Linked DNA regions of Lonchura striata. The protein of the gene in region 1 interacts with the protein of each later gene in a biochemical or structural test. Links are inferred from orthologs where the notes say so. Each region holds a gene or a part of one and is shown in the gene's direction. Other genes may lie near its edges.

Region 1 (9,093 bases):
CGGTGCCACTGCGCTCCGGGCAGCCCGCGGGCCACTGGCATGGCTGCTGCTCCAGGCTCTGCTGCAGGGCTGGAGCTGTAGCCCCAGAGTCCCTGTGCTCTGACATGAAAACTTAAAATTCAGAAAAATCCCATTGGAACACGTGGACCATGTAACACCCTCCCAGGGAGCGTGTGTGACCCCCTGGCTCAGAGCCCGTTCCCTGCCCCACACTGACCACAGCTCAGTACTGTAAAGACAATTAACATTCTGTTTGTGTTTGTACTTTCCCTGACTTGAAGTTAACTCAGTAGTATTTGAATAGTGCATAACCTACCTGTAATGATGCCAATGTTTCTGCTTTACCGTGCATGAGGTTTCCCAGGACAGGGAACATTTCACTGAGTCTCGTGGGCTGAGCCCCCGGTACGTGCGGGGCTGGCTCTGGCCTGGGTTGTAGGTTTTAGGGCTTTTTCTGTTTCATTCTAAGGTTAATTTTTTCCGAAGTCACAAAGCACGTCCTATTGTTATGCAACAAACCACAGACAGTCACTCAAGAGTGTTGGTCCCACCTTTTTTTTTTTATGCAGTATATTCACCTGTAAATAGTTTTTGTGTAAAATTTGACAGAAAAGTATATTTACTACACTGTAAATACATGTGACAATATATTGTATTATTTTGCTTTTTTTGTAAAGCAGTTAGTTGCTGTATATGTATAACATACAAATTTGATTATTCTAGTGTTAGTAACTGTTAACTACTCCTCCCTCCTGCTGGTGCATTCCATCATTTAAAGCAGAAGCTGTGTCCGACACACTCACCCTGTGTGTGATCTCACTGCTTCCATCCGGCCTTGGCTTTCCCAGGGTTTCTGTGATCCCGGTCCTGGTCGTGCTGTCAAACACAGGGTGTGAGCCTGGAGAGCCCGCTGGCCCCAGCCACAGGCCGGTGGGAGCTGTGGGTCAGAGTGGTGGAAACCTGGTTTCAGATTATTGTTCACCCCATTCTCCCCTCATGTATGTACTTCCCCCTTTTTTTTGAAGTAAAATGTAAATTGAACCTGCTCCCTGTTGTTCGAAGGTCATTCCGGGGGCTGCAGGGTGAAGGTGGTGGATGCTGATGTCTTCTCTCTGTTGGAACAAGTTTGGGTGGGTTCTTTGGGGCTGAACCAAGGGATCCAGCCGAGTTACAGAGCCCAACACCCCACTTTTTCTGGGGAAAATTAAGATTCCAGTTAAAATCCAGTGTCTGGGGTTTATCTTCCCAGACTGGTGCTGCTCTGGGTGTGGGATCCTGCATAGAGCTGAGATTGCCTGCGGTGAGTGAGGAAGAAGAAAGCCCATTGTCATGAATTTCATGTCACTTCAATAGGATTATCATAACTGAATAATAAATCAGAATATTTCTTTTTAAAATGTAAATTTAATATTGTAATAAAACAGCTGCTTGGTCTTTAAAGAACAATTCAGTATAAATTGTCTATTTGAGCTTTTTTTGCCTAGAAGCTTGAGGTTTCAGCTGTCAGGCAACTTCTCTGACAAATGATTAATCACATCTATTTTTCTTTTAGGGGGATACATTACTTCCCCATTAAAAGTGTATAAGTACTTATATTCTGACTCTGTGAATCGTAAAAGGATGTAAAGACACATTAAAGTGTGACTGCATTGACGACTTCTGAGACATCTTATTGTTCCTGCATGCTGAACAGACCTGCAGACACCTGGACAGGTGATTCCTGTTGTGCTCTTGGTGCCAGCTGGGGCTGCACGAGTGGAAGAGCAGCAGTGTGTGAACTGTTAAACTTCATTTTCTTTACTTCAGAGGAAATGTTCCTTAGTTCTGAGTTGGAGCTGGAGTGGGATCCAGGCAGGAGCCAGCTCCTGAGCAGCACCTGCTCAATCACTGCTGTCAAAAACATTCCTGAAGTTCCTCTTTTGAACAGTGGAGCCTCCCTGCTACTTGAGATCACAAATACACTGCAGCCACAGGGAAGGAATGAGAGTTTTATTTTAGTTACGGATGCAGTTGGAAAAACTGTGTTTAGGGGGAAAATTGCACTGTTGAAGCAGGCAATTCTGTCTAAGGAAATAGCTTCAAAATTCCTGCCCAGCTGATGCTGAAATATTTTACAAAGGAAAATGAAGTAAAAATGCAGAACTTACTTTAACTTGGGGAATTAATTCTGTTCTGGAGCTAAAAACTGCACAAGGTGGAAAAGAAAATACTTCATGGCTGAGCCCAGGATGGCTCAGAGCTGTTGGTGAAGGTGCCCCAAGCACTGTCCCAGGTGAGATACCCGTTCCCTTAGGTCCTCTCATAGCACTTGGTCACTTATGCCATTACCAAATGTGTTTTACGTGTCTGTCCTCTCCTTAAGCCCTCTAAGGACAGGAGACAGAACACCTGAACTCAGCTCTAAGGTGAGGATGAGCCACCTGTGTCACAGAACTGCCAAAGCCAACCTCCTGCAGCTGTGCAGCGCTGGGTCCCCTCAGAGCAGGAGTGCCTGTCCCACTACCCGAGTTAGGATGTTCAGGTGTGAATCCTTTGTGCCTTGCAACAGGGGCTCTTCAGCTGGCTGCTCCTCTGGTTAACAAGCTCTCAAATGAAAATCACTCCCAGGATTGTGTGGGTGGAAAGGGTACAAAAACAACTCTCATGATGTGACTTGTTCAAATAAGTATGGGTTTATTCTTCAAAGCAATCATGAAAAAAACCTCTGACAATGGGATCTTTTGGGATGTTTAAATAACATTGCTATAAATAGCCGGGAGTAACTATATGCTCAAGAATATCCCCCTTGAAGTATTAAATAGTGGTTTTTTTTTTTTTTCCTCACAGCATATTGTCCTTCAGACAAACTGGAAATATCTGTTCTGCTGCTTCCACCCCCAGTTAGTTACTGGGAGAGCAAGGTCTGCCCAGGAGAGCTGGCTGTGCAGCAAGACAGTGCAAATGCTGAAGAGCTGCTCATGCAGCCCTCCTCCTCCTCCTCCTCCTCAGGCTGTGAGGACACGGGGAACGAAACCACAAGAGGTTTCAGCATGTGGTCCCCATGTGTGTCTGATACCAGCTCTGATTGTGACCTTGACAAATCCCTGAACATTTGACCACCAGGCACTGTAAACGCTGGAATTGCCCAATGCTAACAGCCAAGGGTGGCCGTCGGTTGGGAATTCTTAACGGACAAACTTCTGAGATCCTCAGATTAGGAACATCAAAAGGGCAAAGTCTCAACACCAATGGATTTTTCCACTTCATGTGTGACACAATTTGTAGTTTTTAAGTGGGTATTTAGTATTAATTTCTGACTGCTCTGAACAAAAAGGTAGAGGCAAATCAGGAACTTTTCACAGAAAAATACTTACAGAAATCAGTGATTTAGGAAGGACAATCCTGCTCATGACTGTGGTTTCTCCAAGTTACTCATTTACACTCTCACAAACCAACCGCCTGCTGCAGGCACGTGTCTGCAGCAACGGGCAGGTTTGACTTCAGCCAGCCTGGTCAGCACAGCATTGAACTCCCCCGTGCCTGCAGGTTTGTGCAGCCTTGGCTGGTGCACAGCGTGCTGCTCGAAGCCAGGTGAGCTCTGGGAACAGCAGCGGCTCTGCAGGATGAGCCCAGGGTGCTGCAAAGGGAGGAGGCTGACTGGGGGTGGCTGCCAGATGAACGGGAAGCTCAGGCTTTCAAGCTGGGAGGCTTGAAGTGCTTTCCTGCACTGCTGCAGCTACCGCTGGCTACCCCCAGGAACTGCTCTGGTTTAAAACTCACTCTAGCTTGGCTGCTCCCTGTTCCTGCCCCAAAGCATGAACCACCGCTCCCTGGCCTACTGCTTCCCTCTGACTTTGCTGCTGAAGTTCTAAAAGATGAAAAAGCAGCTGAAGTTGTTCCACTGGGAAATCCTGAGCCACTTGTCCCCACACAAACAGGACCAGTGACAAACGCAGCAGTCTCCTCAGAAGCCCTGAAGCAGCACAGTATCCTGTGCCTTCTGACCCACCTGGCTGCACGGGAAGGAGCAGCACCCACACCTGGCTGCTGCCACTCCGTGTGCTCCCACACAACCCTGCTGGATTATTTGGAGAGGACACATCATTCCCAAACAACTCTTCCCACGTAGACCCAGGGTGGATGCCAAACCCCTCCGGGTGTCACAGGAACACAGAATTTCCAGTGATGCCCCACAAAGGTCAGCACAGACTCTTCCCAAGACCTGGCTGCTACTTGCGTTGCTCCTGCCCTGAGACCTTTCCCTCTCTCACCACCCTCCTCTGGAAACTCCCAACCACCTTAGAAGAGCATCGATGATTTCCCAGTCTCCTCCAAGTGCCTTGCCCAGAGCTGTCCTGGAATCAGCTGTCACACAGCCCACTGAGCGTGGCAGTGCTAGCACTGACCAGCCATGCTTCTCTACTGTGCATCCCGCAAAAACCTCAGAGCTTCCTTGGGACAGAGAAATCAGTTACACACTGGATCCTGTGCAAAGATGCCAAAAGCCCTGGGGGGAAATGTCACAAGTCTTACACAATAACATGAAAAGTCTCTATTAATTCCTACTTGGTGCTGCTGCAGCTGAGCAATAACTCCGCCTGAACACAGATTTGCATTTCTCATTGCAGTTCCAATACATTGCTGTAGCTTCTAGCTAATATTTGCTCACTAATGTGTCACCACCAGCCAAACCTTTGCATAAAACTGTCTAAAGCTCAGATTCACCTGCTTGCGTGTCTGGCTGTTAGCAGGCAATGAGGCGCGGTGGATCGGGGCCGAGCCCGAAGGCCCCGGCCGAACAGAGCCGGGCAGGCGGAGGCGCTGCAGCGGCCTCCAGCAGCAGCGACAGGAGCCATTCCCAGCCACTTGTGGAGGTGCCAAGGCCCGACCGGGGCACCCGGCAGGACCCCCGGGGCCAGGCAGGGAGCGGGGCTCCGGGGACCGCGGGAACAACCATCGGGGCAGCGGCCGGGCGAGCCTGGGATGAGGACACGGCAGCACACAGGGCCTGTGCGCACCCGTCCGGAGGGGGAGCAGGGCAGGAAGGCGGCAAGGGCGGACCCTGCCCGGGCCTCGGCCGCGGGAACGATCCGGGCCGGGCCGGGCCCGCCCCGCACCGGCCCCGGAGCGCTCCCGGCCCCAGAACGATGGATCCCGGCCCTAGAACGATCCATCCCGGCCCTAGAACGATCCATCCCGGCCCCAGAACGATGGATCCCGGCCCGGCGCGCTCCCGGCCCCAGAACGATGGATCCCGGCCCCAGAATGATGGATCCCGGCCCCAGAACGATGAATCCCGGCCCGGAGCGCTCCCGGCCCCAGAACGATGGATCCCGGCCCCGGAGCGCTCCCGGCCCCAGAACGATGGATCGCGGCCCCAGAACGATGGATCCCGGCCCTAGAACGATGGATCCCGGCCCCAGAACGATGGATCCCGGCCCCAGAATGATGGATCCCGGCCCCAGAACGATGGATCCCGGCCCCGGAGCGCTCCCGGCCCTAGAACGATCGATCCCGGCCCCAGAACGATGGATCCCGCCCGGCGCGCTCCCGGCGCCGCCGCGGCTCCCTCAGGCGCGGGGCGGGGCCGCGCGCGCGCAGTCTCGCGGGGCCGCGCGCTCTCGCGAGAGGGGCCGGGCGGGGCGGGGCGCTGTCGCTGCATGTCCGAGCCGGGCGGCCCGGCCGGGGCACGTGTGGCGGCACCGGCACCGCTCCGGACCGGGCCCGGCACCGCTCCGGGCTGCGCCGCCGCGCCGGGACTCCCGTAAGTACCGCCCTGGGCCGCCGCCCGCGCGCTGGCGGAGCGGCGCGGCCCGCGGCTGTCAGCGGCGGCGCCGCGGGGCGCGCGGAGGGCGCTGCCGGCCGTGCCGGGCCCGGTCCCGGTCCCGCCGCGCGGGCCGTGGCGGGAGCGCTCCCGCGCCGCCCAAGGTCAGCGCTCTTCCCCGCCGGGACCCGGGGCCGTGGGCTGGGGCCGGCCGCCTGTGTCGGGGCGCGGGGCTGCCCCGGGCCCTGCTCGCGGCTCGGTGCTCGGCTCGGTGCTCCGCTCGGTGCTCCGCCCGGTGCTCCGCCCGGTGCTCCGCCCGCGGTGTCCCGGGCGGCAGCGGCCGGGCCGGGTCGGTTCGCCCGTTCTGACGAGAGCGCTGCGGCCGCGGCTGCTGGAGCGAGGCCGGAGATGGCCCGGGCGGCGCGGAGCCGCGGTGAAGATTAAAGCACCTTGGGCTGTCTGGTCTGGCGAGCCTGCCTGTGTTATGGTAATGGCCGTAAAAAGTGTTATTTGCAAAACTTCTGATGTGCTGTAGTGACTCCTTTTGTTCCTAAGCCAGCAGGGAGTACAGGTGGGAGCAATGGAATTAAATTATATTGCTGCTGAGGAAGTGATGTCGTGGTCTTGCTTTCCTGGGAGAATATTGTTGTTTGCTCTCTCTTTCTTTTCCTCCTGATTGAAGCAAGGCAGATCTAAGTTACTCCTACTTCAGAAATGGGCAACTTGATCTGTGCCTGGCCGAGTTCTTTACTGCAGTCCAGTAATTCCATGAGGCAATGACCACAGAATGGACAGGCATCTCAGCAAAGGCATCCTCTTCATGGATGTTATCCATAATAGCAGGAAATGGCACCAAAAGCTGCCTTTGGCTACAGCCCATCTGTTGGGAAAAGTCAGGGGCTGTGGGATGGCAGAAATCGGGCCTTCCTGTGTTTCAGGGTTGTGCTGCACCTGCCGAGCGTTATCGGGCCCTGTGGACTTTGTCTCAGGTGCAGGGAAGTGCTGGTTGCTGCCGAAGGTGTAGCGCTGGGGTAGCTTTGCTGGTGGCTGTGAATGATCTACCGAGCACAGCCCCGGAGCGAGCGGAGCTCCCACACGTGCGGTGTGGGAGTGCACCGGAGCTCTCCGGGAGCGCAGCGCGGCTCCCGGGCACCGGAGCTCTCCGGGAGTGCACCGGAGCTCTCCGGGAGCACTGAACTGAGCTGGCTCCTCTGCTGCGATCACCGTGACCCAGTTCTGGTCATTTAACCTCCTCATTCGTTAATGGGCTGCTTGTGTAAGGGGTGAAGGACTGCAGGCACCTGCTGACCTGCTGTACCTGTCTAGTGATGCCCATGGACCTGAGATTCTGGAAAAGGGCAGCACAGCCTCGTTGTGTGTATCTCATTCTCCATTCCCTGGTGTGCCTGTATGTGCTGCACAGTGCAAATGCACTGGAGGAAATGACAGCTCTCAAGTGTGAGGAGGGAGAAGCCTGTGGAGCTTGAGCAGTGCTTGAAGTAGGATGGAATCCACTGGAATCCATTCATGCATTGATTCCAGTCCTGGTCTTGCTCACCTGACAGTCCTTCAGCTCCTGCTTAAGTGTCTCATTGAGCTCTTGAAGGACTTTTAAAAGCTCTTATGGGGGTGTACACAGGAGAGTTTTTCAGCACAGTTGTAGCAGTGTTTTCTCCAACAGGCTGTTTGCTCTCAGACATGAAGCTAAAGATATGTTGGGGCTGCAGGGTCTGTGTGGATGGCGCTGCAGGATCTCAGTTGTTGTGTGTTAGTAGCTGTTCTGTACTTGGGAGTGCTCTCCTTATTCAGCCTTGGTTTAGAAACCCATCCTAGGAACCAGATTCTGTCTTGAATGCTGGAGATGCTTTGAGATACTAATACTGGAAATTATGGACTGCCTAGGAAGCCTTGGCTTTAACCTAGACACTTCACAACGCCTGAAATGAGGGAAGAGGAATTTCCTCACTGCCCAGGACATGAGGTGACAGGACCTGCAGCTCAGATCCACCACATTTTGTCTGTTCCCAGAGGTGCAGATTGCCTGTGGAGTTAAAAGTGAAGGGAGTTTGCTGCAGGAGTGCAGCCAAAGCTCTCAGAGCCAGCAGCAGTTTGATTTGTGATGGCTGAGACTCTCTCTTCACTTTGAAAACATTGCAGGCTGGCTGCAGGGGGATGGAGAGCAAGTGCACTTCTGCAGGAGCAGTTATCTGAAGAGCATAATGCTTTTAAAGCAACATAGCCCACTTATCTGTGCCTCTCCTTGTTCATGTGCACTTAACTCATGTGAAAAAATGATTTAAGGTATTTCTAGCGTCCAGGGAGCCTGTAATAGGATTGGGGCTGGTATCCCAGTTTCCCCTAGCAACATCTAGAGCTAATAAAAAACATTAATTGCAGCATTAATTACTTAAAATTGTTTCATGTTTCAGATCTAATGATTAGCCTTTTTAGAATACTGATTTCTAACTGCAGTGCTTCTGTGGAGCTCTTAATGCAAATGGCTGGTTAGACTTCATGAAGTGATGATCAACTTCAGGCAGCCATGCTCAGATATTCAGAAAAAGCTATTTTATTCATCAGGTGTTTAATATTTCCTGGAAATTGAAGCTGTTGCATTTGTTTCTCATGGGGATTGCTAGAAGGGGAGATATTTGCATGTCCCAAACTGCTTTTTCAAATGTTGTCTTCAGGTGGTTCCCTGTACATTTTTTTTATTGTCCACTATGTGGATTCTGGTCCTGCATTTTGTCATCTGGAAGCTAACTGGATTTTTGGGCCCTGTAATTGCTACTAGCAGAGATGAGTATTTCATAAAAGACCATTTAAAATCATACTTAAGCAAACAAATCACTGCTGCAGATCAGTCCTGGTCGGGGTTGCTTTTGACCTCTGCTGCCACCTGGCACTGAGGATGAGAAACTTGCCATGTGCTGTGGCTGGTTTTTGACTCTGGGTATAAATAGCAGTGGTTCCTGGCAAAAGTTCATGATTTTCATGTGCCTCTGGTATCAGAGGCCTTAGCTTTGCCTGGGGATGAATCTGGGAATTGGGAACTCTCTCTGGTCAGGTTGGAGTGTGTGTTCCACTCCTCACAGCCCTTGTTGGCGCACACAAGTGTCCTCATGCTCATTCACATGAGTGGCTCCCAGTGAAGCCTTTGCTGTTCCCTCCCAGCACAGGTGAGTACAGGCCATCCTCCTCACTGATGTTTGCTGTCCTCCCTCTCTGAGCGCTTCTGCCATTTCTCCTCAAACTGAGCCTTGGCCACGAGGCTTCCAACCAGACTCCAGTGCTTTTTGCTTTTCCTAAGCCTAGTCCAGCTCTTGTTTTGGGAAGCTGTTTGTCAAGGT
Region 2 (8,520 bases), on another chromosome or scaffold:
TCAGAGAGACCCATGTCCAAACACAGTTGACTGCTTTGTATCTAGACCAACAGAAAAGACAGTGTTTATATTATTTATGCAATCAATAGCAACTGTATCATTGCTTTTAAATATTCTAGAAATTATCCACTTAGGATTCCGGAAAATTAAAATGGGACTCTGTGAGCAGAATAAAAACAAAGATGACTCTGACCATTTCTACATAAACAAATCTAAGAAATATTCTGCGATACCACACTCTTCCTTGGGAATATCCACCACCCCTCAGAAAACACTTCCTTGTGCTCTTAGCAGTTATACCTTTTTGATGGAAAAGCAAACTGACACTATGCTCTACCCAGTTTTAAATTCTCCTTCTATGTTTCAGTCTGTGCAAAATAACCGTGCAGAAAGCAGCAGCAATTACACCCATTGCAATCAGGAAAATAAATCTCCAAAGAAGAGGCCAGCTACAAATGCTTTAGACAATCAGACTCAAAATGCTAGCACAAATAATAACGAAGGCTTTCTTGGTGAGCTTTGGACTGAGACACATGATGCACAAGAAGAGGCTGAAAAGAAACATTTTCTTGTTGATACTCAGAATGCAGATACTGCCTCAAACATGTACTTGAGAAGCTTTGCTGAGTTGCCAGGTCAAACTTCATTGCAACCTGGTACAACTTTTCCTAATGCCGGTTTTAGACGACAGACAATGGTTGAGGACACAGGAGCACTAACAAATTCTCTTCCAAAGAACAGGGACAGAAGACAGAGCAGTTTCAGTGTAAACAAAGCCCAAATTCCTTACAATGCTGATGGAAAAAATTCCAGCCGACCAGACACTTCTGATTCCATGGGGGTGGTGAGCTCAGAATCTACACAAAGCAGAAATTGGAATAGTCCTAAGCTTTTGTCTCTGTCTAGGCAACAGTCACTGTCAAGTAATGCCAGCAGTAGGCGTGCCCCCACTGATCTTCAAATATAGTGTGAGTTAACCCATTAGCTGCACTACCCAGTGCTGGGATAATTCCTGAACAGAGACATAACCCAGACCTACGTGTAAGTGCAGCTAAATAATTCAACTTTAGCCAGCTGTTTACATAGCTGTGTAACCCTTTGAATAGTAGCTAAGTAATTTTAAACAGTTTCTTTACTTCTTTTGTAATGAAAATGTGGCATAGATCTCAGTGTATAAACTTCTACATTCCAGCTAAAAAGGAAAACATACATCCTCTCAGCCCACATATTAGGAAAAAGGCATAAAATCACAGCTGGTACTATTAAAACCGAATAAAAGTAGGAGACAAAATTTACAGTCTAACAATATTTTTACAAAGACCAGTAAATCAAATTAGGTTAAAGATACTCTCAAAAGAATTTATTGGTAAACATGTCTCTGCCTAATCAGTGTGAGAATTCAAACAGACACTTGGTAGCTGACCAAAAGCAGAATGTCAAACTTATTCCACAGTTCAAGCTGTTGTAAATACAAAGAAAAAAAGCATTTGCAAAACAGATCACTAATTTGTTGGCTCCATGGTACTTTTTTTCAGTGTATCACCACTGACTACCTCAGCAGAAAAATCAAAGTGAATTTCTAATAGTATACTGTCAGAATTCAATACACCGCTATTTTTTTTAAACATCAGGAATTCCAGACATGTTGTGAGCTTTACTTTTGACATTTTTCATAACACTAATAAGATAGCAAAATCAGAAAACAATTTACTGAAATTTACTAATCAGACATTTTGATTTTCACAAACCAGAAGGTTTACTATGGAAAACAGAAAAAAAACTCCAAAAACAGAGAACCAAAAAAAGCAAATATGGTAGTACCTTCCTGATTTGAGTTACAATGTCAAAAGACATATAAAAGGTTTATCAAAGAGTAAAACTAGTCATTTTCTGTTTGTGTCTCCCCTGAATACTGATAAGCTTTTAAATCAAACAAAGGTCCTACCTGTTTAGGAGGAGCATTTGTGTTTATGCTTTTAATGGGGATAACAAAACATTAGGACATTTATCCACTTGCTGTTCAGGTCCATATGGTGTAAAGGAAGTTCCATGAAACATCTTGAAATTATAAAGGGGGCAAAGATGAACAAAATACTATGGTACATTTGTAATCAAGCTTTCCATGTATGGAATACATTTATTTGAGGTGCACAGCACTGAAACACTGTAAATACTTGGTGAGGTGGTCACAGCTGAAATGCATTAGTATTTTTTGTGTGTATTTCTTACTAGCAGATATGACATACTGTTCATCTGTTGAAAAAAATAATCTGTGAGATATAACATAATGATGTTACAGCACAATGAAATTCTTAAAGTGCACTGTCATTATACTTACCAACCAGCCATGTTTCAGATTGCCTGAAAACTGTACAATACTAGCAAAAAAGAAGCCAGAAAACCTAAACTGCTATTTTGCTTGTAGCAGCATTAAAGAAATACACATGAGAACTATTAAAACTATTTGCTGTAGGTTTCTTTCCTTTTCACTTCTATGTGTATACATAAATACATAATTGTGTTTACACTGTAAAATTTAAGGTCGTATACTATACTGGAACATACATAACTGTAATAGTGTGACTTAGGCAAGTTCATGCTGCTGCTGTGGCTTTGATTCTTGCATTTCTTGATGTGTAAAATCCTGTGGGCAATAACTGCTAATGCTTGTTTTGCATTTAATCTCTCCATAATAAAAAGCCTCATATTTAATGCACTCTGTTCCTGCTGTCTAAATAACAGAAAGTTAGCATTTAGATGTTCATGTATGGGACATGACATCTGTATTTTTGTTGTTCAAGACAAGTTAGAAATGAATTTTTCTGCTGCAGTGAGAGGAATTTTATTAACTTTTTTATGCCTGGATATGAGTCAGACATTTTGTTTAATCACAGCACCTTCCCAAATGAAGAGTAACCACTGAAAACTGCAAACATTGTGGAAGAGCATGGAAAAAAAGCATGAAAACTCCCTAACGTCATATGTGCAAGATCATTTGGTTGGTCTTTTTCTTTTAATTTTTAAAAATTTCTACAATAAATAGATTTTATCTGTCAGCGTTTCAGAAAAATAATCAGGTGTAACAGTTTCTTTTCTTTTTTTTTTTTTTTTTAAACAGGCTAGGGCAAAAGACTTTCGTCGCGAAGATTTCACCACTCTTCAATGCCTCACAGACCCTCTGCAGCCGCTGCTGGCTGCAACTTTCTCCTGTGATTTCAGTCAGCTGCAGCTACTGAAATGTATTAATCAGACACTTTGAATTTCACAAACCCGAAGGCTTACTATGAAAACCAGAAAGAACTCCAGCGACCCGCAGGACAGCTCCGCCCGGACCCCGCGGCGCGGCCCCGCTCGCCTTCTCCGCGGGGAGCTGAGCTGAGCCCCGGAACCGTCCCCGGCCAGGGGAGCAGGGCAGAGCGGGAGAGGAGGCAGGGCCGCGCAAGAAAGGGGGCACGACGCCGGGCTCGGCTTCCCCTCGGGCGGCAGCGGACGGCGAGGCCGCCCCGAGGCGGGCGAGGCCGCGCCGAGGGGAGCGGACCGCGCTGAGGGGAGCGCGGCCCCGCTGGGGGGAGCGGACCGCGCTGGGGGGAGCGGACCGCGCTGAGGGGAGCGCGGCCCCGCTGGGGGGAGCGGACCGCGCTGAGGGGAGCGGACCGCGCTGAGGGGAGCGCGGCCCCGCTGAGGGGAGCGCGGCCCCGCCGAGGAGAGCGCGGCCCCGCCGAGGAGAGCGCGGCCCCGCCGAGGAGAGCGCGGCCCCGCTGAGGGGAGCGCGGGCGGCGCTGAGGGGAGCGGACCGCGCTGAGGGGAGCGGACCGCGCTGAGGGGAGCGCGGGGGGCGCCGAGGGGAGCGGACCGCGCTGAGGGGAGCGCGGGGGGCGCCGAGGGGAGCGGACCGCGCTGAGGGGAGCGCGGGGGGCGCCGAGGGGAGCGCGGCCGCCCCGAGGAGAGCGCGGCCCCGCCGAGGGGAGCGGACCGCGCTGAGGGGAGCGCGGGCGGCGCCGAGGGGAGCGGAACGCGCTGAGGGGAGCGCGGCCCCGCTGAGGGGAGCGCGGCCCCGCTGAGGGGAGCGGACCGCGCTGAGGGGAGCGCGGCCCCGCTGAGGGGAGCGGACCGAGCTGAGGGGAGCGGACCGCGCTGAGGGGAGCGCGGCCCCGCTGAGGGGAGCGCGGGCGGTGCCGAGGGGAGCGCGGGCGGCGCTGAGGGGAGCGCGGCCCCGCCGAGGGGAGCGGACCGCGCTGAGGGGAGCGCGGCCCTGCCGAGGGGAGCGGACCGCGCCGAGGGGAGCGCGGCCGCCCCGAGGGGAGTGCGGCCCCGCCGAGGAGAGCGCGGCCGCTGAGGGGAGCGCGGGCGGCGCGCGGGCCCGGCGCGGCCGCTGAGGGGAGCGCGGGCGGCGCTGAGGGGAGCGCGGCCCCGCTGAGGGGAGCGCGGGCGGCGCGCGGGCCCGGCGCTGCCGCTGCCGCGGCGCCGTCGCCGTGGCAACCGCGGGGAAGCGCTCGCGCCGTTAAAGCGCAGGGCGCAGGCGCGCGGCCGGGGCAGGCGCCGTGCGGCTCAGATGGCGCACCACAAGGTAGGGGGGAGCGCGCCGGCGTGGGCGCGGTGCCGCTCTCCGTGCCGGCTGCGCGGAGCGGCGGGCCGCCGGCCGACCCCGGCTCGGCCCTTCGTGCCGCCTCTGCGGCGGAGAGCGGGACCGGCCTGTGCTAAAGGGCCGCCTCCGCAGTCGAGGCGGGGCGCGCCGCCGATCTGACCGTGTGGGCGTCCTCCCTCAGGCCGCGGACTCCAAGCGGGAGCAGTTCCGCCAGTACTTGGAGAAGTCGGGAGTGCTGGACATGCTCACCAAGGGTAAGTGTCCGGCTCGCGGCCGGCGGGCGCGCTCCGGGGCGTTGCGGGCGGGTGCCGTTCCTCGTTCCTCTCAGGCTGTCCCGCTCCCGCCCGGCAGCGTCTCGGCCGTCCCTCGGGCTGCCCCGCCGCTCTCCATGGGCTTCGCGCCTCGCCTCGCCGATCGCTTTTTCTCCTCAGTCCGGCGAGGCGGCCGGCAGAAGAACTCGCCTGGAGAACTTGGTGCGGCGTGGCCAGGAAATGGAGTCCGAGGTGCGCGGCGAGGCGGCGCACGCCGGGAGAGGGCAGCGGGCGCTGGGACCGGCCCTGCCCCGCACGCTCCCCGCGCGGGCGGCCGCTGCTGGAGGTGCGTGTAGAACGGCAAGGCTGCTCCTTTCCCCCAGTGTGTGCTGGAGACCTCTTCCTTCGGCCGAAGTGCTACTTTCAATGCGTGCCTTTGGGTCGTTTATTTTCTTTCAATGGGCGCTTTTTGTGAGGTTTTTCTACAGAGGAAGTCAGTGCTTGAGATGAAATAACAGCAAATGTTATTTTAAAAGAACTTTGTTTCATACCTTTTCTTGGATGGCACTGTTATGTGTAGTAAATATAATTCGCGCCATTCCTTGTATGAAATATGTAATATTAGATACTTGTTAGATTATGCCCGTTGTATTAGTTCCCCCCCTTTGCAGGTGAGACTGGGTGTATATTGGAAACTGATTTACAAGTGGCTCGGCCAGGAGATGGGCCATGGCTGGGCTCCAGGTGTTGATCATCGGTGCTGATCATCGCATGAATGGCCCGAGGTGGATATCATAGAAATCCTCAGACAGATCCATGTGAATGCAGCCTTCCCGTAAAATCTCATCAGGGATTCACCTACTTCGGACATTGAATTATTTCTCCTCATTACCAAAAAAAGAAAATCTTATTAACCTATGGACTCTGAATAGAAGAAAATCTTGGCCTCAGGCAGAATTTTCCCTATAAAAAACCGCTTGTGCCAGGATGGAGGTGTGTGGGCATAGGGGAGAACCTCTGCTGAGGCTGACTCCTTGTGGCACACCCAGGGCCAACCCCAGGCTCGGCTCTGTTCTTTCCTTGTGGCTGGCTAGATAGAATTTGACCGCTAATAAAAATTATTTTTATTTTTTAATCTGGCTGAATAAATTCTCATTTATAACAGCACTTAGTGCTTTTTTTTCTAGAATGAATGACACTAAGTTCTGGATTAATGACTCTCCATATCAAACTGGAGAAAATGATGATGCTCAACTTGACATGTGTGACTTAGTATTTTTGAAATCCTCCTAAAATCTTTTTGAGAACCTTCTAGTAGTATGTGGCAAAAAATGTGTTAATAATGAAAAAATTAATATTCTGCTAATATTGAAAATATGCTGTTTAAAGAGGGAGCAGCAGATCTAGGATGTCAAGTAAATAGCTGCTGCACTAAGACTCTTGGCCTGGTGTGTGAGTACCATTTGATTTTTCAATCGCAGTGCCATCCTATGGGATGGCAAAACAAATCTTCCAAGCAGTGAGGCAGACTAATTTTGCTTTTAACTTAGGAAGTACTTAGCTTAAAACCAGTTTGGCTGTGTAGCTCAAGACTTCTGAAACTGGCACATGGCCCCTGTGGGGAAGCAGGGAGTGGTTGTGATTGGGAACTTCCTGGGTGTTCATGTGACAGTCTCCCGTTATGTTGCTATGTAAATGGCTATTTTTATTTAAATTGTCGGGGTATTGCTGCTTTTCTCTGGCGGTTTTGGCCATTAGAGTCCCTACCCGTAAAAATTATCAGTGTCACCTAGCCGTGTAGTAGCTGTTTAGTTTTGTAACTGTAGATTATCAATGGAGGTTTGCTCTTCTGCTGGAAGTTACAAATCTGCTGATGTCTTGTGGTTTAAAGATGTAGCTTAAGTACAAGTTTTATGAACAATATAGTTAGAATTTCAGTCTTACTGGTAAAAGCTAGTACTAGGGTGCATGTGGCATATGTAAATTTTTTTTCAGGATGTTTTATGTTCTGTGCTAGAACAGCCAGAACACAATGTGGGGTTAGGGATCAAGAAAATTCTCTTTAGCTGTTACTAGGTGGAATGCTCTGTCCCCTCTGATACAGCAGACCTGTTGCCTATGTCAAAGTGTGCAAGTGAAAATCTTGTTAAATGGACAAATACAACATGTATGCTTTCTGACTGCTGATATGTGTTTAAAAAACTTAGAGTTGCATGAATTTCTTGCAATTGTTGAATATTTTCTATTTGCAGTGTTGGTAGCCTTATATGAAGAGCCAGAGAAACCAGATAGTGCACTGGAGTATCCTTTTCCTTTGCTGTGACTTATTTATTGAGACTTTATGCACAATATTGCTTCTGACTCATGGGTGGACTGGATGGATTCATTTCGATGCCTTGCATTGAGAACGTGACTTTTTTCAATGCATTTTACCTAATGATTGCATTTTCACAAGCTAAGAGAGTCTGACAGGATGCCAGAGGGCTGGGATTTCAGTATGCCAGCAATTATGAAGCTAAGTTATTGGCCATTTCAGTGTTGTAGACCTGCAGCTTTAGATCTGAGTACCTGCAGTGGCAATGGGTTCTGAAGTTTGCTTCTTCACACTTCCTTTTTTTGTTGTTTTTTATTTGTTTTTAAATACATGAAGAAGGGGGGGAACTAGCATATTTGTTGCTGTTTTTAAGCAGCCTCCATTTTTGGGTATTGCTGCTTTTTTTCTTTACTTTTTTTAATTCTTTAAAACATCTGCCGTTACGAAGAGAAAAAAAAAGGAGGTAGTAACACATAAGGATTTGTACTGATATCTTGTGTTTGTGTGTTTGTTTTTAAGGAATATAGCTATGAATTTGAAAAGCTCTCTTATTTTGGTAACTTTTTTCCTGTAGTGATCACAATGGCTTACTGCAATTTTGACCATGTGTACTGCAGTGTTAACATCAACACAGGTGTTAAAACTAAAATGTAGTTATACAACTGAGGAAATACTTAACATCTAAATATCAGTTTTCTGAAGCATCATCTGGGAGCTTCAGCTCCTGAGAATCCGGAAATAGAGGCACTTCGCTTGGAAGTGGCAGAGATGAAAGAAAAATATGAAGCTGTGCTGGAAGAAAATAAAAAACTGAAAACCAAGGTAAAAGTCTACTTGGTGTTCCTCCATAGTTCCATATTATACAACAAGAAAAATATTTTCATTACTTGGAATAGAGCTAACCTCCTTTCATTAGAGTAACTGATAAATGATGTTGCATTGTTTAGCCTCATGTCTGAGAAATCATTGTAGTAAAGATTATTATATTTTATGGAACATATATATTTTATGGAATGTAACATAAAATATTGGTAAACTAGGGATTTTATTTATTTAGGGAATGTGTATTATCATGTCCAATATGTTGTATTGAGTCTTGTGTGGATGTGTTGAAGTTGTCTGATATTATGTAGATCATGCTTTCAAGACAGTTTGGAAAAACAAGTAAGTTATTGTATCCATTATAAAGCCTTTCAAAAGGCAGATTGAAGGAGGAATATTATGTTTACTTTCTGTCACATGGCACAGACTACACATGGCAGGATCTTGCACAGGCACTTAGATTCGTGTGGAGCAATAATCTGTGCTTTTTACTTAAAGTGACCTTGGTATTTATCTGAAACAACAATGAATCTGAAGTGCTAGCTAGG

What was found.
Region 2: the proteins of AKAP1 (region 1) and MYCBP form a complex in vitro, tested with the Homo sapiens proteins (2 studies listed by BioGRID). The link is inferred for Lonchura striata from reciprocal best matches to the Homo sapiens genes AKAP1 and MYCBP.

What each region holds. Positions count from the first base shown.
Region 1 is NC_134622.1:10,975,793-10,984,885, reverse strand, and holds the start of AKAP1 (A-kinase anchor protein 1, mitochondrial), read left to right. Parts: upstream 1-5,633; 5' UTR 5,634-5,743; intron 5,744-6,123; exon of another isoform or gene 6,124-6,230; intron 6,231-8,688; exon of another isoform or gene 8,689-8,922; intron 8,923-9,093.
Region 2 is NC_134628.1:5,084,677-5,093,196, reverse strand, and holds the start of MYCBP (C-Myc-binding protein), read left to right. Parts: upstream 1-4,490; 5' UTR 4,491-4,552; coding exon 4,553-4,567; intron 4,568-4,766; coding exon 4,767-4,839; intron 4,840-7,088; coding exon 7,089-7,137; intron 7,138-7,842; coding exon 7,843-7,972; intron 7,973-8,520. Other genes in the region: GJA9 (gap junction alpha-9 protein), read left to right, coding at 1-967. UniProt on the Homo sapiens protein: May control the transcriptional activity of MYC. Stimulates the activation of E box-dependent transcription by MYC.